Linked DNA regions of Callithrix jacchus. The protein of the gene in region 5 binds, or shares a complex with, the protein of the main gene of each other region. Links are inferred from orthologs where the notes say so. Each region holds a gene or a part of one and is shown on either strand. Other genes may lie near its edges.

What was found.
Region 1: the proteins of RAB11A (region 5) and RAB11FIP3 are in contact, whole or in part, in a crystal structure (PDB 2HV8), measured with the Homo sapiens proteins. The link is inferred for Callithrix jacchus from reciprocal best matches to the Homo sapiens genes RAB11A and RAB11FIP3. Residues at the interface, in NP_004654.1 of Homo sapiens: Arg33, Ile44, Gly45, Val46, Glu47, Phe48, Ala49, Thr50, Trp65, Arg72, Arg74, Ala75, Ile76, Ala79, Tyr80, Arg82; in NP_055515.1 of Homo sapiens: Asn731, Phe732, Gln735, Ile738, Asp739, Arg740, Ile742, Val743, Met746, Glu747, Pro750, Ser751, Leu753, Glu754, Val755, Lys756.
Region 2: the proteins of RAB11A (region 5) and SH3BP5 are in contact, whole or in part, in a crystal structure (PDB 6IXV), measured with the Homo sapiens proteins. The link is inferred for Callithrix jacchus from reciprocal best matches to the Homo sapiens genes RAB11A and SH3BP5. Residues at the interface, in NP_004654.1 of Homo sapiens: Tyr8, Asp9, Tyr10, Leu11, Lys13, Glu35, Phe36, Asn37, Leu38, Glu39, Ser40, Ser42, Thr43, Ile44, Phe48, Lys58, Gln63, Trp65, Tyr73, Ile76, Ala79, Arg82, Gly83; in NP_004835.2 of Homo sapiens: Asp42, Ile45, Gln46, Leu49, Glu50, Asn53, Thr56, Ile59, Asn60, Glu63, Thr64, Glu67, Lys240, Tyr243, Leu247, Leu250, Glu251, Ile253, Ser254, Asp255, Ile257, His258, Arg261.
Region 3: the proteins of RAB11A (region 5) and MYO5B are in contact, whole or in part, in a crystal structure (PDB 4LX0), measured with the Homo sapiens proteins. The link is inferred for Callithrix jacchus from reciprocal best matches to the Homo sapiens genes RAB11A and MYO5B. Residues at the interface, in NP_004654.1 of Homo sapiens: Leu11, Lys13, Arg33, Glu35, Ile44, Gly45, Val46, Glu47, Phe48, Ala49, Thr50, Gln63, Trp65, Glu71, Arg72, Tyr73, Arg74, Ala75, Ile76, Thr77, Ala79, Tyr80, Arg82, Gly83; in NP_001073936.1 of Homo sapiens: Ile1627, Gln1628, Gly1629, Leu1630, Trp1706, Met1710, Arg1713, Tyr1714, Ser1717, Gln1718, Glu1721, Arg1724, Gln1745, Leu1747, Gln1748, Leu1749, Lys1750, Lys1751, Glu1755, Ala1759, Leu1763, Tyr1779, Glu1786.
Region 4: the proteins of RAB11A (region 5) and MYO5A are in contact, whole or in part, in a crystal structure (PDB 5JCZ), measured with the Homo sapiens proteins. The link is inferred for Callithrix jacchus from reciprocal best matches to the Homo sapiens genes RAB11A and MYO5A. Residues at the interface, in NP_004654.1 of Homo sapiens: Arg33, Glu35, Ile44, Gly45, Val46, Glu47, Phe48, Ala49, Thr50, Gln63, Trp65, Gln70, Tyr73, Ala75, Ile76, Ala79, Arg82; in NP_001369276.1 of Homo sapiens: Ile1660, Gln1661, Trp1738, Met1742, Arg1745, Tyr1746, Ser1749, Gln1750, Glu1753, Arg1756, Gln1777, Gln1780, Val1781, Lys1782, Lys1784, Met1795, Glu1818.
Region 6: the proteins of RAB11A (region 5) and RAB11FIP2 are in contact, whole or in part, in a crystal structure (PDB 2GZD), measured with the Homo sapiens proteins. The link is inferred for Callithrix jacchus from reciprocal best matches to the Homo sapiens genes RAB11A and RAB11FIP2. Residues at the interface, in NP_004654.1 of Homo sapiens: Arg33, Ile44, Gly45, Val46, Glu47, Phe48, Ala49, Thr50, Lys61, Trp65, Arg72, Arg74, Ala75, Ile76, Ala79, Tyr80, Arg82; in NP_055719.1 of Homo sapiens: Glu478, Ile481, Asp482, Asn483, Leu485, Val486, Met489, Glu490, Pro493, Ser494, Leu496, Arg497, Val498.

The regions. Positions count from the first base shown.
Region 1 is NC_133513.1:2,679,903-2,684,111, reverse strand, and holds the start of RAB11FIP3 (rab11 family-interacting protein 3), read right to left. Parts: upstream 2,801-4,209; 5' UTR 2,677-2,800; coding exon 2,008-2,676; intron 583-2,007; exon of another isoform or gene 448-582; intron 34-447; exon of another isoform or gene 1-33. UniProt on the Homo sapiens protein: Downstream effector molecule for Rab11 GTPase which is involved in endocytic trafficking, cytokinesis and intracellular ciliogenesis by participating in membrane delivery. Recruited by Rab11 to endosomes where it links Rab11 to dynein motor complex.
Region 2 is NC_133518.1:54,072,434-54,074,778, forward strand, and holds part of SH3BP5 (SH3 domain-binding protein 5), read right to left. Parts: intron 2,251-2,345; coding exon 2,031-2,250; intron 376-2,030; coding exon 115-375; intron 1-114. UniProt on the Homo sapiens protein: Functions as a guanine nucleotide exchange factor (GEF) with specificity for RAB11A and RAB25. Inhibits the auto- and transphosphorylation activity of BTK. Plays a negative regulatory role in BTK-related cytoplasmic signaling in B-cells.
Region 3 is NC_133514.1:93,367,797-93,371,857, forward strand, and holds the start of MYO5B (unconventional myosin-Vb), read right to left. Parts: upstream 2,801-4,061; 5' UTR 2,514-2,800; coding exon 2,487-2,513; intron 2,172-2,486; exon of another isoform or gene 1,895-2,171; intron 1-1,894. UniProt on the Homo sapiens protein: May be involved in vesicular trafficking via its association with the CART complex. The CART complex is necessary for efficient transferrin receptor recycling but not for EGFR degradation.
Region 4 is NC_133509.1:40,063,488-40,066,987, forward strand, and holds part of MYO5A (unconventional myosin-Va), read right to left. Parts: intron 2,569-3,500; coding exon 2,357-2,568; intron 1,476-2,356; coding exon 1,319-1,475; intron 1-1,318. UniProt on the Homo sapiens protein: Processive actin-based motor that can move in large steps approximating the 36-nm pseudo-repeat of the actin filament. Can hydrolyze ATP in the presence of actin, which is essential for its function as a motor protein. Involved in melanosome transport.
Region 5 is NC_133509.1:12,876,713-12,880,680, forward strand, and holds the start of RAB11A (ras-related protein Rab-11A), read left to right. Parts: upstream 1-1,168; 5' UTR 1,169-1,271; coding exon 1,272-1,311; intron 1,312-3,968. UniProt on the Homo sapiens protein: The small GTPases Rab are key regulators of intracellular membrane trafficking, from the formation of transport vesicles to their fusion with membranes.
Region 6 is NC_133513.1:110,981,909-110,986,206, forward strand, and holds the start of RAB11FIP2 (rab11 family-interacting protein 2), read right to left. Parts: upstream 2,801-4,298; 5' UTR 2,019-2,800; coding exon 1,666-2,018; intron 1-1,665. UniProt on the Homo sapiens protein: A Rab11 effector binding preferentially phosphatidylinositol 3,4,5-trisphosphate (PtdInsP3) and phosphatidic acid (PA) and acting in the regulation of the transport of vesicles from the endosomal recycling compartment (ERC) to the plasma membrane.

The DNA.
Region 1 (4,209 bases), on a different chromosome or scaffold from region 5:
AGGCACTCAGACCATGCCCAGAATTGCTTCTTCCTAAGCCGTCCAGAACAGACAGAAGGAGTAATGTCACAGGAAATCCCTTCCACTTTCCCATCCTCACCAAACCCCGAGTCACCCAGCCCTTGTCCCCAACCTTCAAATTCCACCAAGTGCTGTCAGACTAAGGAATTCTCACTCATTTCTACTTTGTGATGACAAGAAAGCTCAGCCCCAAAGAGCAACCCCAAAGTTTTTCCCGTTGTGATCAATAAGGGAAGCTATGACAAAAGATCTTTCTCAAGAAAGAACTGTATGAAAGTCAACAAGATAAAGTAATATCACAATAGGGATATTGTGAGCCACCGAACTAAGAAGAGCCATCTAAAGCCTCAGGGCCAAAAGACCTAGTTCTACCCCTGTGAGGCTTTGGGCTCTGGCAGAGACCTTTCTGGGTTTCGGGTTTCTCACCTGTGAAGTGGGATGAATCCTGCTTGCCTAGTTACCATCTCAGAGGACTGCGCTGATGATCCAGTGGAAACATACCTGCGCCTCACAGAAGCTCTCTATCAGCGCTGGGTTACGGTAATGAAGAGCAGACGTGGCACTCTACTCTGCTGTACTGAAGCAAGAGTATGTTTGGGAGAAGACACGGCACACTAGCCAACAGCAACCAAGGGAGCTCAAGGTGCTCTCCAGCCCAGGGGCAAGAAGGAAACACAGCAAAGCAGCTGGACCAGCAACCACCATCCACGCTGACCATACAAGAAACTATCAGTGACATATTTCAGTGCCCATTAGACTAGGTGGAAAGCCATCCTGACAATACCCCAGCCGGAGGTAAGCAAGGGAGCACTGCAGGCACCTGTCTGCCCGTCTAAGCGTGAACTCAGCAAGGAGCCCCGATTTATCAGGACCCTGTTCTTGACACTCTCGAAGGATACAGTGGATGCTCAGGGGGCATATGGATTCATCAAGGTTCTTAATATCGTGACTGACACCCTAAATAGCAATGTGCCAATTTTAACACTTTTCTTACAGACCTCTTGGCTTAAACACGCATCTGTACTGGACACCCACGTAGCAGATGCCTGCATGTGTGAGAAGTCAACGACATACAGAAACTGACAGATCAGCACCTTAGGGATTTCCTACTAAGTAAAACGTTTAGAAGTGAACACTATTACCTGATGTCCACTGGGTCATTGGCAGAACACACACAGCCCTGCGGTTACCTCCACTTAAACTTTACTAAGTGCTGAGGTAGACAGAAACCACTCCACCTTGGGGCCCACCTTCCCCCCAGGAGCAGGCGCCCTGAGGACCGTGCGGACCCCCTGGCACACCGTACTGTGCATGGTGCCTCTCCATGCATTTCACCTCTCCTTCGAGAGTGGAGGTGGCCCTAACGGCGTTCTGCTAGACTTCTGTGTTTGCCACCGAGCGTTTCACATACGAGCTTGGAGACTCACTGCCTTCCTCCCCAAAGGCACCAAAGTGAAAATGTTTGATTTCAGGCCCTTCTACAAGCACTCACCATCTCCCAAACAATAAAAGATGAAACCTAAGTAGGAAAGATGCCAACCATACATCGTAAAGTAACCGTGCTCAAAACAGATCTCAAGGTGCCTGGGCAGTCTGGCCTCTGCGGCTTGAAGTTGGGTGGATTCAGCCAAGCAGTGTCTGGGCCCTCGGGTGGGAGAGTCGCAGGACGCTTCGTTCAGGGGCACCTCCATCAGGTCCCTGGGAGGGTGTCCCCAGGCCGGGAGCAGACCTCAGTAAGATCCAGCTGACCAGGTACTGGGGGGAGGGGAAGAAACGGACTCCCCAGAATAGAACCTCCTTTTAAGGGGGGGGAAGAGGGACTCCAGCGAATTCAACCAGAAATCCAGGGCCGAAGGGGTGAATAAGCAAAAAAAAAAAAAAAAAAAAAAAAAAAAGCAGGACCCGCAGGTCTCGACAGTGCCTTTCCCGACTGCAGGGGCCGCGCGCCCGCCCAGTTCCCACGCCCCGGCCCGGGCCACTCCGTACCTGCTCTGCCCCGTAGACCGTGGCAAACTGGACGAAGTCCTCGATGCGGACGAAGCCGTCCCCGTCCCCGTCCAGGGCATCGAACACGGCTCGGAGGCGGGGGCCGTCCTCCTGACTCCCCGCGGGCTCGCTCGAAAGGGGGTGCGCATGGCCAAGGTCCGAGGGCTGCGGCGGGGCCCCGGGACCCTCTCCCAGCGCCAGCTCTCCCGTCGTGGGCTCGGGGAAGGGCGGGAAGAGGTCGACCTCGCCCCGGGCTCGGCGGCCGCGGCCGGACCCCTGCCGGCGGAAAGGCGCGCTCTCGGGGCAGCTCGGGGGGCCGCACTCCTCCGGCTCCTCGGTCCAGGAGAAAAACGGATCGAGCTGTGGAAGCGGCGCCTCGAAGCAGGGCCCTGGGCCCGGGGAGCGCGGCGGCGGCGCAGGCGGCCCGGGATGCCGCGGGCTCCCCTCCAGCCTCGGGGCCGGCCCGGCGCTCCAGCGCGCCCCGCAATCCGCAGCGGCTCCGGGCGTAGGCTCGCCCAGGCCCGGGGAGTCCGCGTCGGGGCCGGCGGCTGGCGCTCCGAGGCGCAGCTCCGCGGGGCCCAGCACCGGCTGCGCCGCCCCCGGTCCGTCCGGCCCGCCAGGCTCAGGGTCAGGCCCCGGCGGCTCCGAGGCCGGCGGGGCCGACGCCATGCTCCCGAGAGGCTAGTGGTGCGGCGGGCGCGGGCGGCAGACAAAGGCGCTCAGGGCGCGGCGGCGGGCGCGGGCATCCCCTCGGCGGCGCGGGCGGGCGCGCGCGGGGCGCCCGGGCTGCTGGGGCTGGCGCTCGGGCCCTGCTCCGTCCTCGCCCATCTTCGCGCCGCGCCTCAGCTGCCCTCAGCCCGGCAGCGCGGCGGGCGCCGGCCCATGGCGACGGGGCGGCCTGGGAAGGGCGGCGAGGGGTCGGGCGGCGGGGTCCGGGGCCGAGGGGAACGGAGGCCTCGGAGCCTGTGGTGCAGGATGAGGAGGCTGAGGCGCCGGAGGTACCCGGAGAACTAACGCCGCCGCCGCCGCCTCCACCACCGCCCCGGCCCCGCCCTCCGCTGGGCCTGACGTCAGCACGTCCGGGCGGCGCCGGCCCCGCCCCTCTCCGGTTTGCTATAAAGGCGGGCGCCGGGAATGCCGCGGCAGTGCGGCGGCCGTCACCGCGAGGTTATTCTGGCGTTTCTCCTTGTCTCAAGCGCCGGACGTGGAGGTGCCCAGAGGCTGTGAGCGCGGGTGTGAAGTGACGTGACGTCCCTGAACAGGGGCGCGCTGGGTCAGGTCGTGCACAGCTGGGTCAGCTGCGGCGACAGCGACAGCGACCTGCGCCCGTTGCGGAGGGGTAAACGGCACCGCGCGGCGAGCGAAAGACGAACCGGCACGCAGCCCCCTTGGAGCAGAGCCCTTCCGGGGCGGAGCGTTCTCACGCTGATGAGACCGAGAGGAGGCGCACGCCTGGCCCCGCGGCCCTAGTGGTAGCGGGTGCTCCAGGAGTTGCGGGGCGCAGACCCGGCAGAGGGCGAGGCCATGCCCAGAACCCGCGCGGACCCGGGGAACGCAGGGTCTGAGACCGAGTGCGGAGGGGCCCCAGACACGCGGTGCATGCCCGTGGCAACCAGAGGCTCGCGCGGCCTTTCCCTTAAGCCTGTAACCAAGGTCTCCAAGACGCACTGCGTTGGGACGGGCGCGGTGGCCCATGTCCAAGCGGGAGGATGGCTGGAGCCCAGGTGTTCGAAACCAGACTGCGCACCACCGAAAGACCTTGTCTCTACAAAAAATAAGATTAAAGAAGACACCCAGCGTGAATCGCCCGTCCTTAGCCAGCCTCCCGGGCACCGTGGCTGCGTTTGGCAAGTGACTTCTGTGTCCAAGTATCCCTGTCCTCAGAGGGACATAGGACCTCAAACAGGACCACAGCCCTGGCAGCAGGCATGATGGTGGGACAGGCTAGTTAGGAGCGCGTGAGGCGCTAAATTTAGCCTGTCATGAAATGTATCAGGGAAATGATGAACTTGTATTTTTACATACCATGGGCACCAAGATAAGTTACGGTTTCATAAGCGGCTTCGGCAAGATCCAAATGAACGGAACCTCTGCTTCCAAGTGTACCGTCAGGAGCAGCGTGTTAATTAACTGAGTCATCTCCCTGGCAGAATCCCAGGGTACATGGGACCAGACTTTGTGAGGCTGGCATTGGGAAAAGAG
Region 2 (2,345 bases), on a different chromosome or scaffold from region 5:
CAGGTAATGCAGCACGGAGGGCCAGAGGCCTGGCAGAGATACGACACGGCACAAGAGTCAGGCTACAGAGGCAGTGTGTGTCATCTGAGACAGGGTGAGAAGGCTGCTACTCACCTCGTTCTACTTCACATTCAGGGGACGAGGCCCCACTGCATTCACTTCGGGGGCCCAACACTGGGAACATCATCCCAAACTCTGACAGGGACACAGGGCTGGGCAAATCCAGGCTGCCAGGCCTCACAACCGCAGGGAACTGGTCAGGCATCTCAGACGGGCTTGTTGGTCCTGAACTAAAGCTGGACACAGACTGGGTTTCCGAGTCATCTTCAGACACAAAGTTGCTACAGCTGTCATCTTCAAAGGCCTCCGAGGCCACTAAGTTGAGAAAGAACACCAGTCACATGGGATCTGTCACCTCAAACACTCAGAAGTGCTTGCTGCTGCCAGGCAGCTAGACACAGCACAGGAACTGCAGAATCTGTCACTGTGAGTGCCTAATGAAGGAATGTGACTTCCCAAGCCTGAATGACCAGCCTCTAAAGCAGCTGGATCCCATAGCTATTAAGTGCCCTTCCAATAACCTTAGAACCCTGCCGAGAAATCAGTGTCACAAGACACTGCCTAAAAATGGAACATTGATTCAGCCACAAATTAGGACCTTTTCTCTACCTCAGTCCCCCAGACAGATCCTCATATACACAGGAAGAGGTTCTGGTCATCTGTAACATACTCCAGACAAAGCCAGCTGGACTTGGGCTTCTTTCCTATGTCAAGAGAAGCAAGAGCTACTAGAAGAAACAGGCCAGTATGGAATATCTGTTGGGACCTTTGCTGTATTCCAGGTAACTTCTGATCTCATAAAGGACACACGCAGAATCACCATTTGCTGCAAAAGACCAGAAGTCCTTTACAGTGCTCTGTAGCTGTGTGATTTGGTAGGCCAAAATAACAAGGCCCAGAGACATGCTGTTCCCATGATTTCAAAACCTCTTTGGCCTTCAGCAGTTTTCCTTCAGCTTGCCCACAATCCCACTCCTTAATAGAACTTTCCTACTCCATTTTTCCCCCTCTTCTCCTTAAAAACAGCCTTGTAGCATTCCATAAAGGTTTCTTATAAATGATAAGTACTGTAATACTGGAGACAGAAAGTGGGCTAGACATGAATTGAATCCTTAATTCCACGACTTGCTGTGTGACCTTGGTAACTCTAAACTTCATAATCTTCTCCATGCAGGATTTGAGATGATGTACATTAAAGTAACTCATACATAGTTGTTACTCAAATGATAGTTTCCTTTTCCTTTACCTTGAACCTGGCACTTAAATATTTGCTGAAGGAATTAAAGAACTTCTGAGGAAGGAGCTTGGGAAAGAGCCAAGAGGGATTATCCCACAAGTAAGGAAAATAAAGGAAGTATGCAAGGACAGTGTCGGGTGGGTTTTCTTGATGAACAGAACAGAAACTACATCCAGGGGCTGGCCCTGGGAAAAAAGGTCTCTCTGGTCAGATGCCAGTAAGAGCCACCATTTGCTGAATGCTGCTTGGGTGCCAGGCGTTGATTCTTGTAATTCGAATCACCACCCTACACAATGCAGCATATACAGTAGATACTATCGTACTCCCCATTTTACAGGTGAAGAAACTGAAATACAAAGGCCCTTGCCCACATCATGCACTAGTAATGATGTAATGGCAGATTTGAATCAAATCTGATTCCAAATTCCCTATTCTTAGCTCTTCTTTCCTGCAGGACTTCTCAGCCTCGAATGTTGTAGTGAATACTTTGACTCCCAAAGAAGAGTGACGGTGTAACTTTCCCATTTATTTGACCACAGAATCATGACTTTGAGGAACACTTAGTACCATCTTGATGAACACAGTGTTCCATAAAGCATGGGAAGCCACCAGAAGTAGGCTTCAGGCCTGCCCAAGTCTGAGACCCAGTGATGGCAAGAGAAAGTGAGGACCCTGGGAAACCAATCACACAATCTGGTATCTGCCCATTTACCCAGTGGGGCCCCTGACTTACCAGAAATGGCATCAGGCTCAGGTTTGTTCCCTGACAGATCCTCCACGGATGTGCTGCTGCCCTCAGCCCCAACACCACAGCCCCGAGGCCCCATGGCACTGGAGCGCCGCCGCTCATGGATCTCATCTGATATCATTTCTAGGTTCTTCAGGGCCATCTTGTACTCCCCTTTTGCCAGGGTCAGTTTGGCCTGCAGGTCATCCACAGTCTTCTTCAGTTGCTGGTCGGGAGAACAGGAGACTAAGTCAAGACTACTCTGCTAGCCTTAAGATGCCTTCTGAGTGACAGGTTCAGATACACTTTCTGCCCATCATT
Region 3 (4,061 bases), on a different chromosome or scaffold from region 5:
CACTTGATGGATACCAGAACTGCTGCACCCAGATCAACTGGAGACAAGCAGAGCTTTCCATAGAAATTCTAAACAAGTGGGATCAAGACATTTCTTTGAATTTTAACAGAGGATCAAATGTGGCTCTCCCAGTTCAATACCAAAGCAAAAACCAATCAAAGCAATAACTGCCAAGAGGTCTAGTTACAGCAAAAGTGGACTGGTTCAGAGCAGAGACCATAGCAACATCTTGGGGGGATGCTCAAGCCATTTTGCTTGACTTTCTAGAAGGTCAAATGATGATGATATCTGTTTATTACGAGTGTCTTGAGGAAGCCAAAGCTCAGCAGAAAAACTCCCAGGAAAGCTTCACCAGAAAGTCCTTTTCTGCCACAACAGTGCTCCTTCTCATTCCTCTCAAAGAAGAGCAATTTCACAAGAGTTTCTATGGAAAACTATTAGGGGTCCACCTCACAGTCCTGATTTGCCTCTTTCTGAGGTCGTGTCCTAATCTTGAAGTTTTCCCACAAATGTAAGAGGCTGCACTGACATGCTAAAACTCCCAGGAACCTCAGTTCTTGAGGGAGGAATTAAGTGGCTGGTATCACAAAAGTGTCTTGAGCTTGATGGAAATTACGTTGAGAAATAAAGTTTACATTTCTTATTTTATCTTTTAACTCCATTTCCGCCCCCCCCCCCAAACCTTCCCCCTCGGATAATGCAGCAATTCAATATTGCCTGATAAGGAACTTTGTCACATTGTAGTCATATTCAGTCGAGTCACCCCTTTTACTTAGAAGTACAAGTTGTACCTCCATGCACCTTAATGTTACAAAGCTTCGGCTCTTTGAGTACTCAAGTTCAGATTTTTCCTCTGCCTCCAGTCTGAGCTCCTGATAACCTAACCGGCTTCAGGGAAAAAACTGAAAGCTGAGCTTTTAGGGATCCTCCCAAGACCTCGACAGCTAAGAGAAGTGGGGTGTCGTTCCAACACCAGGACTACCACAAAGTTCGCGCCCTGGCTCTCGCCTCCTCCCCCGGAGGCCGTCGCCCATCCCTGATCGCTGCATGGGGGTCCCCGGTGAGCTCGGAGGCGGTATCTGAGGCTGCGGCGGTCCCACCCCCCAGTTAAGTGACAGCCTCCGCGGCCACCGGGTGAGAGTGAACCCATCCCAGCCCTGTTTCCCTCCCGGAGGAAGATGAGAGTTGAAAATTCCTCAAACTTAGACGGGTGAACAGCCAATGGAGCCAAAGGGCTCCCACATGCGCTGGACAGCCGCGAGTGATCGCCAGGTAAGGACGCGGAAGTGACTGTTCCTACCCCGCCCAGACCTGTTGGCCCGGGCGGGTGTCCTGGGAATCGTACACCCATGCAACGCGGGTGCACATCACACGCACACAACTCTGCACGGAGGCATGTACACAGGCACTGTCAAACGTGTTCTCGCCGCCCGAGAAGACGAACAGGAAAACCAGGCATTGGACTATCCAAAACTTGTTTTCTTAAAGGGGCATGGGTCACATGTGTAAAGGCTTTTGCCCTCTCACTCCTGACTAGAGGTTGAAACTCCAGGGGTCCCGGGCGGCTGCAACGCTGCCTCGAGCTCCCGGAGAAGCGGTGGCTCGTCCCTAACTTTAACCACAGCAACTGCTGCTGAACGCGGGCGTCTCCGCCCCGGCTGCACCTGTTCCCGATTCGGAGCACTCAGCCTCGCACATCCCTTCTGACCTTGAAGGCATCCTGAAACTCACACCCTGCTCCCGATTCAGCTTTACTCCAACCCCCTCCCCGCACTCACTGAAGCCCTCTAGGTACCAGAGGGGCCGGCGTCAAAATGCCCATCACTGGCAAATTCACACCGCTCTTTCCTGTGGTCTCTGGAGATAATGGAGCAACCCTCTACCCATCGCTTACCCCCACTCGGTCCAGCCGCCGCGCCCTCACGCCAGATTGGGCCTCCTCCCTTTCCACCAAGTGCAGAACCCCACCTCTTCCAAGTCCAGGGTTCCCTATGGTGGGTATACGGGAGGAAAGGGCGCCTTGGAGGCGCGCCCTCGGGAGCCAGCGCCGCAGAGCCCCCAGGGCGGAGTCCACGGTGGGGACAGGGTACTGCGCGCGGGCACACCGCGGGGGACCGTCCGGCGCACAGCGCTCAGAGCTGGCAGGGTCGCCCTCGCGTTTCTGAGAACTCAGCTGGAGCCGAACCCGGGCAACGAAAGTAGGGGGCGCGGCGGGAAGAGGGCGACAGACCCAGCTTGGGGCTGAGCAGTGGCACTGCGGGAACTCCAGGAGCCCGGCAGCCGGTCAGTGCGGGCGTTCCCGGAATCGCCAAACTTTCTCCGCCAACCGAAGTTAGGGACGCCGAGGACTGAGACAAGGGGGACCGCAGGAGGGGTCTCCCGTCACCTCCCGCCTCCAGGAGTCGCGGGAGAAGGCGATCCTGAGTGTTAGGTGGCCCGAGCGCACCGCCCCTTCCCCGCGGCGCCTCCCCCGCGGCCGCGCTCACCTGACTGTAGAGCTCGCCCACCGACATGGCTCGGGCCGGGCGGGGCTCGGGCCCCGGCTCCTCGCTGCCCCGCGGCTCTCAGTCCGCTGCCGGCCCGCCTAGCGCCATGTTCCCGGGCTGGCCTGGAGTTTCTCGCTCTCTCGTTCTTCCGGGACCTGCCGAGCCGGCTTCCCGGAGGTTCAGCTGCCGGCTCGCTCCCGGCTCCCTCCCGGCGGCGCGACCTTTACTCCCTAGGCTGCGGCGCAGCTGCGGCCGGGCAGGAGTTGCGAGCGCCGGGGGAGGAGGCCGCTCGGCGCCGCTCCCCGCCCAGGTGTAGGGAGGAGGCGAGGGCCGGCGAGGAGGGAGGACCCGCGCGCGTCAGAGCGGACTGCCGGTGCGCCGCCGCGCCTCTGAGCCCTGCCGGTGCCCGGCCTGACGCGCCCTCCCGCGCCCCCAATGCCACCGGGGCCTTGGGGCCGGGGGCGGGGCGCTCCGAGCCGAGCTCGGGGACCAGTGCGGGCCGCCCCCTGCTGGACGGCGCGCGCGCAGGCACAGGTGCGCCCCGGTGCCCACACCTGCCCCGCCGCGCTCCGCTTCCACCAACACAGGGCGCGGCGGAGACACGCACGAACGCGTTGCAGAATAAAAGGGGACAGGAACTAACAAGAGAGGGGGAAAGAAGAGAGAAGCGTCTATGACTGGAAGGCCCCCAGACCTTGCCCTCGATTTTTACCTGGCTGTATTCAGCGCTTTCATTATTAAAATTCAGTTACTCTCAGATCGTTATTAAGGCCTTCCGGATATACATACACCAAGGATCTCCTCCAAACTGAACTCTGCGCAGAAATCCTTGCAGAAACGTGGGAGTCGTAACTCCTTCTGTAAAAATGCTAGCCACTTTCGCCCTCACCCTCCAAGCAGACTCCAGGCCACTCCTCTCAGGGGACTTTTGCTTTTCCAGGAAGTCACGTTCTCCCAACCCCTGTCTCTCCTACTTGCAGACTCCGGGTCCTTCTACCACTCACGACCTCATTTATTTGTGTTCCCTTTGCCCATGGCACTTCACTGCCTACAGCAACTTCAGCTCCTCTCCTACTTCCAGGAGAAAGTAGAAATTTCAACCAAGGGGAAAAACAAAATTGCCAGGAGTTGGGAGGAAGAGCAGGGGCTGTCAGAGGAGACACTCCCTTCTGAAGGTGACATCTGCCATGAACCAGGGATGGCCCCTGAAAGTGGTTCTCAACCAGAAGATATATCTGTACCAGCTGGGGCAGTTCAGGAGCCCCAGAAGGTGATTCTCAAAGGGATCCCACCTGGAACGCAAGATCCCGTTGTAATTCACCTGCGCAGTCCTTCACATGGGCGCCTCCATAATGAGAGTTACCTGGGGAGCTTTACGGGTTCCAAGGAAGAGGCCCCACCCCAAGGAATTCTGATTTAACAGGGAAGGATGGGGCCCGGGTATCCGAATTTTTAAAGCTCCTCTGAAAGTCTAAAGGATGGTACTTCCCCGGTGACAAATGCAGTGACTAAAGCTTGAGCAGCTCTCATTGGACTTAAAGTGAAACTCTTCATATCAGTGGAAAGAGCAGAAAG
Region 4 (3,500 bases), about 27 Mb from region 5:
TAAATAGAGCCTAGGTCACACCCATATACTTCCTGTGATTAGAGACCCAAATCACCCCATTAATGCTCCTTCTAATGGTGATGTCCACAGAGCTCTAATATCCAGGCTTCTATTTCTCACTTATTTGAAATATACCCTATAGGACAGACTCCAAACCTTGCCAAAATGAGAGATAAAAATTGTTCAATGGTCACAGGTGATAATTAAAATTACTCTGGTGACCTTGTTAATTATTGCTAGATAAAAGATTATTTGTCAAAAACTTTTGGTGCATCATACCTGTCAATACAATTTTAACTGCATTAATGTTATACTTTGTCTCCTCTTGACCATGGAAACTTCTCTCAAGGTTGTCTCATTCTTGGAATAATCTTCAACCTGTCTGTCATATATTCTACCTATTCAAAGTTCCCTGTAGTCATCTAAACAATGGGCCCCAAGGAATTTGGGTGCTAATTCCTGGAACCTGCAAATGTTAACTTATTCAGAAAAAGTGCCTTTGTAGACATGATTAGGTTAAGGATCTTCAGATGAGAGGATTATCCTGGATTACATGGTACAACCTAAATGCTATCCGAATTATTCTTATAAGAGGCAGATAGGAGAAGAGAAGTCAGATACACAGAGGAGAAAATGCTGTAAAGACAGAGACAGAGACTGGACTGATGTGGCCACAAGCACAGGCATGCTGGCAGCAACCAGAAGCTGCAAGAGGGAGGAATGGATTCTTTCCTGGAGCTTCTGGAGGGACAGCAGCCTGCTAACAACTTGATTTTGCCCCAGTGATAATGATTTTGGACTTTCGGTCTCCAGAACTCTGAGAGAATAAATTTTAGTTGGTTTAAGGTACCAAGTTTATGATAATTTATTATAGCAGCCAAAGGAAACTAAAATACTTTTTTTTCAAATTATATAAACAAAGAGAAAAAAGAAGTATATGTTTTTTCCCTATTGTTTTGTTAATAAATATATGTGATTATTTAGTATTTTAAAATACATTTCAGGCTGGGCATGTGCACGGTGGCTCACACCTGTAATTTCAGCACTCTGGGAGGCCATGGTGGGAGGACTGTTTGAGGCCAGGAGTTTGAGGCTGCAGTTGAGCTATGACTGCACCACTACACCCCAGCCAGGATGACAGAGCAAGATCCTGTTTCTAAAAAAAAAAATATTTTTTAATAAATAAATACACATTTCAATTGCTGGTTGTCTCCATACAGTTCCTATGTTTATTGTAGCCCTTGTGGTGCTCTATATAGAAGTGGAATTTGTTTAATATTAATAGAATGAAAAAACAAAGTTGAAAATAATGCCTCACCTTGCGATACCTATTTCTGGCCAAGTAGCCTCGCAAATAAGACTGAAGAACGATAGTGGCAGCTCGTCTAATCTTATACCTCCTGTGGACCACATACATACGCCAGTACTTTTGAATGATAGTTGCTGCCTTGGTTCTGCGCAGAAACTTAGCATAGCTGGCCAAAGAAAATAACAGTGTGTTGTCACTCATCAGAAAAAAAACACAGGAATACATGTTATAGAAATGTAAAGAGTGTCACTGTTTTAGGCATTAAAAGTAGTACCTCCATTGTATTATTCTAATAATGTGCATGCTAAGTCAACATTTATATTTACTTACATTTGTATAGCAATTTATAGTTTCCCAAAGTTTTTTTTTCATTTATTATCTCATTTGAGCCCTCCCTTACCCTGAAAAGCAGGATGGCCCACATAGCCAGATTTTACAAGAAAGTGAAATTCAAAAAAGTTCATTCTTTCTGCATTAGGATCCATTACTATGTCCTCTTTATATAACAGATGGACATACACAGTAACCTCACACTTAGTTATCACCAGCTTTCTTGAATCTAGCCATTACTAACGTACCATATTTTTCCTGAATCTACTAGCATATAAGTTCATTAATTCATTTCTACTTATACTTCTCAATTAAAATCAACCTAATATGTAATCACACTAAAGTGTACTTCTCTTCAAGATCATCTCAGTTAATTGCTCCCCCAAATTCTTCAGTGCAGTCATTATTAACCAGCTCATATTCATGACTATCTTAATTAATATACGATCTCCTCAAGCTCAATATAAAAGTATCAAAAATAAAAATTTTTAGGACATTAAGTAGGCAGCAGTTTGTAAATGCTTGGAAGATAAATCCGAATAATTCATAAGGCTGAGTGAATTTCATTCTATTTAGTTGTGCTATGAGTTAATTTGTTGTTCCTTGGAACTAAGAAAAGGTGAGGTGTTATCTTTTCAGGTATGGTGACCACTTAAAACTGTCCTTGGTTGGACAGTGAATTATATGGGCACCCTAATATGTCACCATGAGACCTACCATCGGGCCTGGTAGCCCCTCACATATCTCTGCACAGCAATGGCCGCCTTCCGCATGCGTAGGTACTTCTTCCTCAGCAGCCACCCTCGGATGGTCTTCTGGATCCGGATGCAGGCAGCCCTCAGTTTGTCTGCTCTCAGTTTTTCTAGATAGGCCACTTGACCAGCACGGAAAAAGATCTTTGTCTTACCAAACTGGTATTTGTCCTTGTCCTATTTTTGGAAGAAATTGTATATTCAGAAATAATAATCATAAAATGAAATTTAAAAGAAAAAATATCTAAAAGCAGAATCAGTAAAGGAATTATCTATCAGCTAAAACTTGGGCTATGTCACAATTAACTAATGAAACCAGATTTTTAACCCTTTGCAAGTTGAGCAAACAGAAGGGATTTCAAGAAAAACTGCAGTTTAAGAGTTATTTTCCAGAATTATTCTACCTGGAATTATTATCTGAGGCCCAAAACTTGGTTGTGGGTTATAGGCAGCTATTATTTGCTTGTTTGTGTTTTAAACATCTCAAGGAAATGGAGATGCTGACTCTCTCTGACTGACCCAGGCTGTAAGGATTACATCAGGCTGTATATTCCATGAGAAAGCTGAAGGGACAAAAACACCAGTGTGAAGAATAAGGCAGGAAGAAATGCATATGAAATAAAAAAAAACAAAAACAAAAATCCTTGAGTATTCATATTGAGTACATTTCTAAACAGTTATCCCTTGGCTTTATCAATAATATTTGAAAACAAAGTAACAAGACTCCATAAATATGTTTAAAATCCTACAAATTTCAAACTCCTTTTACAGAAATATAATTATTTATATTACACTGTGATTCACCTTATCTAGAAGAATGCAAATCATTAACCATTCCTGCACCCCAAAGAATGGAATTTATGTATAAAAATCATTACTGTGATCTGAAATTCTTTTTTTTTTTTTTTTTTTGAGATGGAGTCTCACTCTGCTTCCCAGGCTGGAGTGCAGTGGCGTGATCTTGGCTCACTGTAGCCTCCGCCTTCTGGATTCAAGCGATTCTCCTGCTTCAGCTTCCTGAGTAGCTGGGATTACAGGCACAGACCACCATGTCCAGCTAATTTTTGTATTTTTAGTGGAGACAGGGTTTCACCATATTGGCCAGCATG
Region 5 (3,968 bases):
AATGAAATACTTATGTAAAAGGACTTAGATTAGAGGCCTACAAATAGGACTCAAGTTCTTGATGAATCTTGATGAGGAGGGTGGGCGAAGTACTCTAAATGTTTGAAAGATTTCCAGAGAGGAATGAGTGACAAAAGCGCCTACCCTTGCATGAAGCTGGAGGTAGAAAATTCCAGCAAAAGAAATTTTCAAGTTTCATTGAAGCTTCTGAACTAAGGTTTGAGGGACCAGGCTAAAAAATAGGCAAAGAGAAGAGGCTCAGTAAGACAACCCCCACCAAGTAGCAGACAGTACCTGAAATGCAGTGGGAAATTTGTGAGGTCTTCATAGGCAAGGGTTAAGTTTTACATCTCCATCTTAATTCTAGTGAAGATATATCATAGTTGTTCAATTACTTAGTGAACAAAAATGTGAATTAAAAATGTCAAGAGGGCTGGGCACGGTAGCTCACGCCTATAATCCCAGCGCTTTGGGAGGCCGAGGCGGGTAGATCACGAGGTCAAAAGATCGAGACCATCCTGGTCAACATGGTGAAACCCCGTCTCTACTAAAAATATAAAAATTAGCTGGGCATGGTGGTGCGCACCTGTAGTCCCAGCTACTCTGGAGGCTGAGGCAGGAGAATTGCTTGAACCCAGGAGGCGGAGGTTGCTGTGAGCCGAGATCGTGCCATTGCACTCCAGCCTGGGTAACTCCTTGTCAAGAAAAAACTATATACATTGTCAAGGAAAAAAATGAAGCAGTGCAGGTTCCACCGAGATTTGAACTCGGATCGCTGGATTCAGAGTCCAGAGTGCTAACCATTACACCATGGAACCTCCACGAATGTGTAGCTGCCTTGGGCTCACTAACCCTTAGAGAACCCCGCCCCCATCCACAAACTCTCCACCCAGAGGCGGTCTGGCCGGTTCCAGCGAGCCGCTTCCGGGCACGGTAGCTCGAGAAATGAGCAAGAGGCCACTAAGACCATGGTGAACTAGTAATTCTAGGGCTCAATTTCCCCTCTGAGCTTCTTTTAGCAGCGAAAGTTTGAAGTCTTAAGCCATGCGACTCTCGCGCACACCGCCCTTCTTGAGCTCAGGGGCGGGGCGCCGCCCCCGGAAGTACTTCCTCTTAGAGGCTGGGGCCTGTCGGAAGTGGCGCAGCTGCAGGGAGGGGCTCTCCACCCAGTCCGGCCGCTGAAGCTCGGCGTTCGGGTTACCCCTGCAGCGACGCCCCCTGGTCCCACAGATACCACTGCTGCTCCCGCCCTTTCGCTCCACGGCCGCGCAATGGGCACCCGCGACGACGAGTACGACTACCTCTTTAAAGGTGAGGCCATGGGCTCTCGCACTCTACACAGTCCCCGTTGGGGGACCTCGGACGCTCCCGGCGGACCCGCCTGCCGGCCACCCCGGCGCTGATATAGGCCTGCCTCAGCCCCTCCTTTCTGTGCGGTTCCGGCTCCTACCCAGCTCGGCGTCTTCTCCCCGCTCAGACAGGGGTCCGCGTCACTTGCCGCTCTGAGCGACCTCCATGGAGGCCTTCGCTGGCCTTAGAGCCCCTCCCTGCGTGTCCTTCCCCCGGTGAACTGCCTTCTCCCCACATCGTGGAATTCCTTTCCCCGGGTTCCACGGCCCCGCCGCTCCTCCCACCGTCTCTCTTTTTGGGTGTAGCGCCCCCTCCCACTCGGTGTACAACCTTCCCGGCTCGCGTCCTCTCTCGAAGCCCCTCTGACGGGTTCTTCGCTTCCCTCCTTGCCTTTCCTTCGGCGCAGACTCCCACTACAGGTCTTTTTCTTATCTGCCCCCTTTCCTCCCTCCCTTCGGACTGCCGCCCGCTCTTAGCTTCGCCCATCCCGGGTCCAGGACCCCGTAAAATGTGAGCGGACCGGGGGCCCCAACTACCAACCCCTCCCCCGCCCCGCGCCCTCCACCCCCACCTCTCGCCGGGCGGTTCTCGCGGTCCTTAACCTTCTCTGACCGCTCCCTCCCCCACTCCCCATTTGGCAACTCTTTCTCTACCTTCCCTCCCCAAATTGTGTTTAGAGCTCCCGTGTCTCCATTGCGACCCGGGTAGTGGGAGGGAGGGTAAGAGGGATCGCCCGTCACCCACGCGCGCACTTGTCGCAGTGACCCGGCAGGCTGACATTACTTCCCACCTAGCCTTTCATTCTCTTGCCTTCCCCATCCAGTAGCACCCAACCCTGGGTAACTCTTGACTCGGTTCGCGAGAAGGGTTTGCGGATGGGTGGTGGCTGTTATCCTTGCCAGACCTGAAGGCCCGGTTCCTGAGCAGGAAAGGTTGTGCGCTGCACAAATACTAGCTTGCTTTATCTCTCTGGACTGGTTGCTTCCTGCTGCAACACTGGGAGGATCCAACAGGAAGGGAAGAGCCCTAGTTGGCCACATACCTTTCCCAAAAGGTTGGGGGTGGGAGGAAGTTGTGTACTCTTTTGGTCACATTAGATATTTGTTATAAGATATGGAAACATGTAGGGTCCTTGGCTAAAACATAAAGGAGGGTCGGGGTGGTTAGAAAGAGTTGCTTATTGGTTGAGTCCGGAAAGAATCCAGATAGTTTTTTTTAAATCGACGAAGATAAAGGGTACATTTTTCAGTGAGAAGAGAGTACAGTAGATGCTTTTTTTGTTCAGTGAATGCGCTCTCACTCTGATGCTCTTTCTCTGCTCCTGAATTGGGAAGGTAGCCATCAGTAGCGTGCCGAACAAAGATCATTAGCAGTGAGGAAGAAGCTATTGCTATTAAAGCTTTACTGTGGAGGGTGGAGTTTAAAGAGTGTTAAGCATGGTGACTGTTGACTTTGCCATTGGGTGCTAAGAATGATTGACCAAACCAGGGAGGAAAGATTTCTTTGCTTTCCCAGTACTTTGCAAATCTTGTTATGCTAGCCTGCTGTCATACATACTCTTCCTCTGACCCAGAATATACTATTGTATAGGGTGAACACTTTCAGTATCCACCCTCACCCCCATACTGGAAAGTACTTTCAGGGTACTTAATTCATTTTACAAATACAAAACTGAGGCCTGGATTACAGAAAGTATACTACAACATACCTTTTGCCGAAGGCATCTGAGATGATGTGAAATTATTTGAGTCTTTTGAGGCTTTGGGGTTAAAGGGAGGTTTGTGTTTTAAAATATGTTGTGGTGGTAGTATGCCACTGACTGCCTTTGAAGTAATTAATTCAGAACAAAATGGACCCTCGGGGTATTTCTCTTGTTTGGTTTCAACTTGAATGTTGGTTATAGAAGGTCTATTTATTTATTTATTTGCGACAGAGTTTTGCTTTGTCGCCAGGCGCCGGGCTGGAGTGCAGTGGCCGATCTCGGCTCACTTCAACCTCCGCCTCCCGGGTTCAAGCAATTCTCCTACCTCAGCCTCCTGAGTAGCTGAGACTACAGCTGCGGACGACCACGCCTAATTTTTTTTTTTTTTTTTTTTTTTTAAAGTAGAGACGGGGTTTCACCATGTTGGCCAGGATGGTCTTGATCTCTTGACCTCATGATCCGACCACCTCAGCCTCCCAAATTGCTGGGATTACAGGCATGAGCCTCCACGCCCGGCTGGTCTTTTAATTTTTTAAGCAAAGAATGTTAAATATTCTAAATTGGCCTAAGGTTTTTCAACTTTTTGATTAGACCATCCTTCTAACAACGATTGAGAGCACTGAGCTTTGGAATCACGTAGACCTCAGTTTAGATCCTGACTCAGGTCTTAAATTTACTTTGTGACCTTGGAAAAGTTCCCTTTTCTGAGTCTCAGATATCTCATGTATAAAAAGAAAAATACCTGCCTCTTAAGATTGTTGTGAGAATTAAATGAGACTGTAAACTTTTAACCATGAGGACTCAATAAATAGTAATGTGAAAGAAGTTATTGTGGTTTTGTGTGTGTGTGTGTGTGTGTGTATTTTGAAACAGGGTCTCCCTCTGTCCCCCAGGCTGGAGTGCAGTGGTGCAATCA
Region 6 (4,298 bases), on a different chromosome or scaffold from region 5:
CAGGAGTAAAACTAGAAGAAACTGCAAAAGATTATTTCATCCTCAGACTCTTTGGGTTAACATTTGGGCCTATTTTCACTTGGAAAAGTTATGTTTCAGAGGTCTGAAATACATGATCCATTAACATTAAAGTACTATAAATCAAGGGAGAAATTCGATGTTGTAATATACTTAATGGTTTACATTCAAAACACTTTAAATATTTACTAAGTGTCACCCAAAATTGGCAATTTGAAACAGATTATTTGGTAATGATCCATTTTTCACTTTCAATTTGATAAAGAATCCCTCGGAGGAAACTGAATGCTACTCTTTAGGTATCAAATAATTTTACTATTCAAATCACTGATATATATTCAACTTTACACTTCTTAAAAAACTTTCTCCTTCTAAAATATTTTAATCTCAATTAAATATTATCCTTTTTCCTCTTGCATTCCCAGAGGAAAGTGTAGAGATCTCTCTACACTTTTATTCTACATATATTAGATCTTAGGTAATGACTTGATTTAAAATGAAACAAAAAACTACCATCAAGAGAAGCCTAAGAGCAGAAATGTAAAGAGAAGAACAAGAGATAGCTGCTTTAAAAATGTCAGGAATTAACACAACCTTGAAGAAAAATATCATTATAAGACAGTTTTTAAAAGAGTAAATAAATTCATTTATGACTGAATGAAACACCAACACTATTTTGAAAATGGAAAGTCCTAAGAAGTTCAACCAGTATTTTTCTCTCATTAATTTCATTAATATTAATGTTCTTTTAAGTTTAAGGAGGGGGTGAATATACCTATCTCTAAAAGCATATATTTTTTTTCAATTTAAGACACAATATCCTAGTGTTAATTTATATTATGATTTTTTACATTAAAATATATCTAACTCAAGCTCAAAAGTTATGCTGAAGAGGCCACTGAAGATGTCATCGAATCATTTCATCACAAGAATTTATCATTGTCTCCAATCCTACAGCATTTAATATGGTCTAAACACAATAGCTTTGCAAAACCAATTCCGAGGTAATACAATAGCTCTGATCTAATCGCAAATTCAAAGGAAAATGTTAGTGCATTTGAAGTTGAGGATGTTGTTACCTACTTTTAAAACTTTCTTTTCTTCTAACAGGTATGAACTCCCATCAAGGCGTACTGCCCCTGAAAATGGCTGAGCTAAAATAAAGGCTGTGTTTATAATGTTGAAATGAAATACTGAGTTCTAAACCTGGTAATTTATCTTCTGACAGCTACAAAGTGCAACACATAAACATTTCATTGGCAAATTTAATTTCTGATCTTCCATTTCATTGATAATTGTAAAGTTTAAAATCCATAACAATTTATACGAAGTTCTAGTTGGTCAATACTGTGACCCAGTCCTCTTATACTGAAACAATGTTAATTTACTTAAAATCCACCGCAGAATACTCAATCTGACAGATGTTTACCTCTAACAGAAATAGCTGGATTATAAATGATTCCATTTAAAAAATATTTCACCACGAGTGCTATTTTTACTTCAGATTCATGCAAATATGGTGCTTAAAACTGGGTCATATTTCAGTCCGAAAACCAACGCCCGAAGTATGCGGATAATTTCCAGGAACAGAAAACCCATAAATAAGACATAAACTCCCCCAAATTTAAAATAAATTACATAACTTACTCTGTTTTCCTTCTTTGTTTGTCCTCAAAGACGTCATTGAGATTGATTGCCACCTGCCCTAAAAATTTATCCAGACCCACCAGGGACCTGTGCATGACTATAAGGAAAAGAATGTATTTATCTGGATTCCCCTGCATTAGCAATCCAGGTAGCTCAAAAGAGGCCTCCTCCTTCCAGACTGGCTCAAGGGTTTTCTCAGCTACAGAGGTGGAGTACTTTTCCTTGCCCAGCTGAATTATAGTGTATGTGTCATTGGTGCCACTTTTGCCTTTTGGCTTTAGATCTTTGGCTTGGAGCACTGTGACCTGCACGTGGGTTGGAAACCACTTTTGGGCTTGCTCGGACAGCATCATCCTGTCCTGTTTCTCTGCACACGAGTTCACACGCACAGGCAGTGCCCCTCCCGGAGGGAGAGCCTAATTCCTTAATCACTGCATCCTAAGGGCACTTAACGGAGACCGGCGGGCTCAGGGCTCCCCGACTTCCCTAAGGCCGATGTCAAAACGCCTCTCGGGGGCAGCCCAGGGGCACGGCCGCTCCGAGGGTCCCCTTTCGTCAGGAGAAACACAGGGACCCACCATCACCTGGCCGCGCCGTGAAGGCCTCCGCGCGAACCCCCGCTCCTGGCGTCTCCACCTCCCCAGGCCTGCGGGCACGTGAGGCCTGGCCACCGGGGCCCGGGCGGAGGGCTGAGGGGGTGGAGGGAGCCCACCGCCCCAATTCTGCACCCCAGGCCTCCCGCCTGCCTCCTTGCGGCCGGGCAGCCTCAGACGCCTCAGCGCCTCCCGCCCGCCCCGCGTTCGTCCGCTGGCCCGGCCCTGCTCCTCCTCCCGACCCCGGTAATACGAACCGCCGGCGGCTCACCGGGCCTCGCTCCCTCTAGCAAACCTCTCCCTCCTCCTCCTCCCCCTCGCCTCAGCTCCTCCTCTTGGGCGAGGGCGGGTCGCCCGGGGGGGTGGAGTGGAGGTGGGCGGGGGACGCGGCCGCCCAGGCGACTGCGGGACGCAGGGCGGGCCGCGAGTTGAGGGCAACCGGCGCTGGCGTCGGCCTGGCCCGGCTGGCGGCTCCTAGCACCCGAAGGGCGGCTGCGGCGGCACTTCCGGGTTGGCTTTCTCCATGTTGGTATTGGGAACGCGAAGGGGCGGGGCCTCGAGGTCAGGGGTCAGCACCTCCCTGGTTGCCGTGGCGACTGAAGGCGCGCGACGCTGGCGCGACGGCGGGGACTCTGGGCTCCTGGCCTGGTGCTGCTTGGGCCTGGCCCAGTGGCGCGGGTCCTCGGGACCTGGGGGGACTGCAGACGCCGGCAGGTGAGCCCTGGGGAGACCTGGGCACCGCTCCTTAGAGGAGATCATCAAGGACCTGGAGACGCCCCTAACTAGGGAGAGACCCCTTTTCAGTCTTTGAGGGCTGGGAATCTGTTTTCGCTGTATCCTGGATGCCCAGTGCCAGACACGAGCAGGTCCATAAATGGTGTTGGAACGAATCAGGCCTCTTCACTAGCCGAAAGCAAACTTTTCTCCAACGTCTTTTCCACCCTTCTATTTTTGAAAAGTCTGTCAATTCACTGAAAGTGACATCCCCCACCCAGAAGAGGGGCGAGAGGGAAGCAAATAGCTTCCAAAACTAACACAGGGAGTAGAGATGTAGGGAGGCACTTGGCTGGCGTCAGAAGACCTGGTTCCAGCCGCGCTCCTGCGGCTATCACTATGTGTGACCCTGGCCAAGTCATTTCACCTCCCTGAGCCTCAGTGTTTTCACGAGTAAAAAAGGCCAGTTCCACATCATGTCTAAGACTCCATCACGACGTTAAAAGGACCCTTCTGAGGACTCACACTGTAGTAGACTGTGCAGATCCTGTGGAGACCACGCCCCAAACATGACTTTAGAGTTTTAGGAGATAATACATGTGCCTTTCCTGGCACAAAGTGGCAAAGAAGTCCCCTTTTGCCCCTCTCTTTCTCAATTGGAAGAGACACGTACTACACCTATTGCCTTTAATTCTGTCCGTGTCTTACCTTCCCAAGGAAATTTTATGTTTTGGGACCGCCTTGTCTATCACGCAGCCCCTTCATGGAGCCTAGCATGCAGCAGGCACTCAATTTATTGAATAACTTAATGCCTTTTTTCCCTTTACAAGACTAATTTTGAGAGTGAAACAGTATGACACGTGTAAATGCAGAGTTTTTTTTTAACTTAAGTGGCCATAAACATGTAAAATATCGTGTTTATTATTTTAAAGAAAGTTTAAAACTTCTTCATTCAAGGCAGAATTTTTCATTTCTGAGAGACAGTGTATGAAAAGGCCATGGTGGAAAACAGAACAAAATCGTCATACTGCAAATATAGCATATGAATCCCAGAGTGCATAGTTGTCAACTTTAAAGAAAAATATTCTTAGGGATTTTCAAACAGTACATTGGAATTGCCCCAAGATCTCTAAGGAGAAATAATTTGACACCTGAAACTTACAAAAACCAAATAAGCATCATGAAATCAAATTTAATTTTTAGAGTTTTTATACATTTTTAAAAGTCTTCATGTCTTTATTAAAGGTTTTAATTAAGCAAGAGACAATTATAATAGTGGATGTGTATTTCCAAAGAGCTTAAATTGTTTGATAAGCTTTATTAATG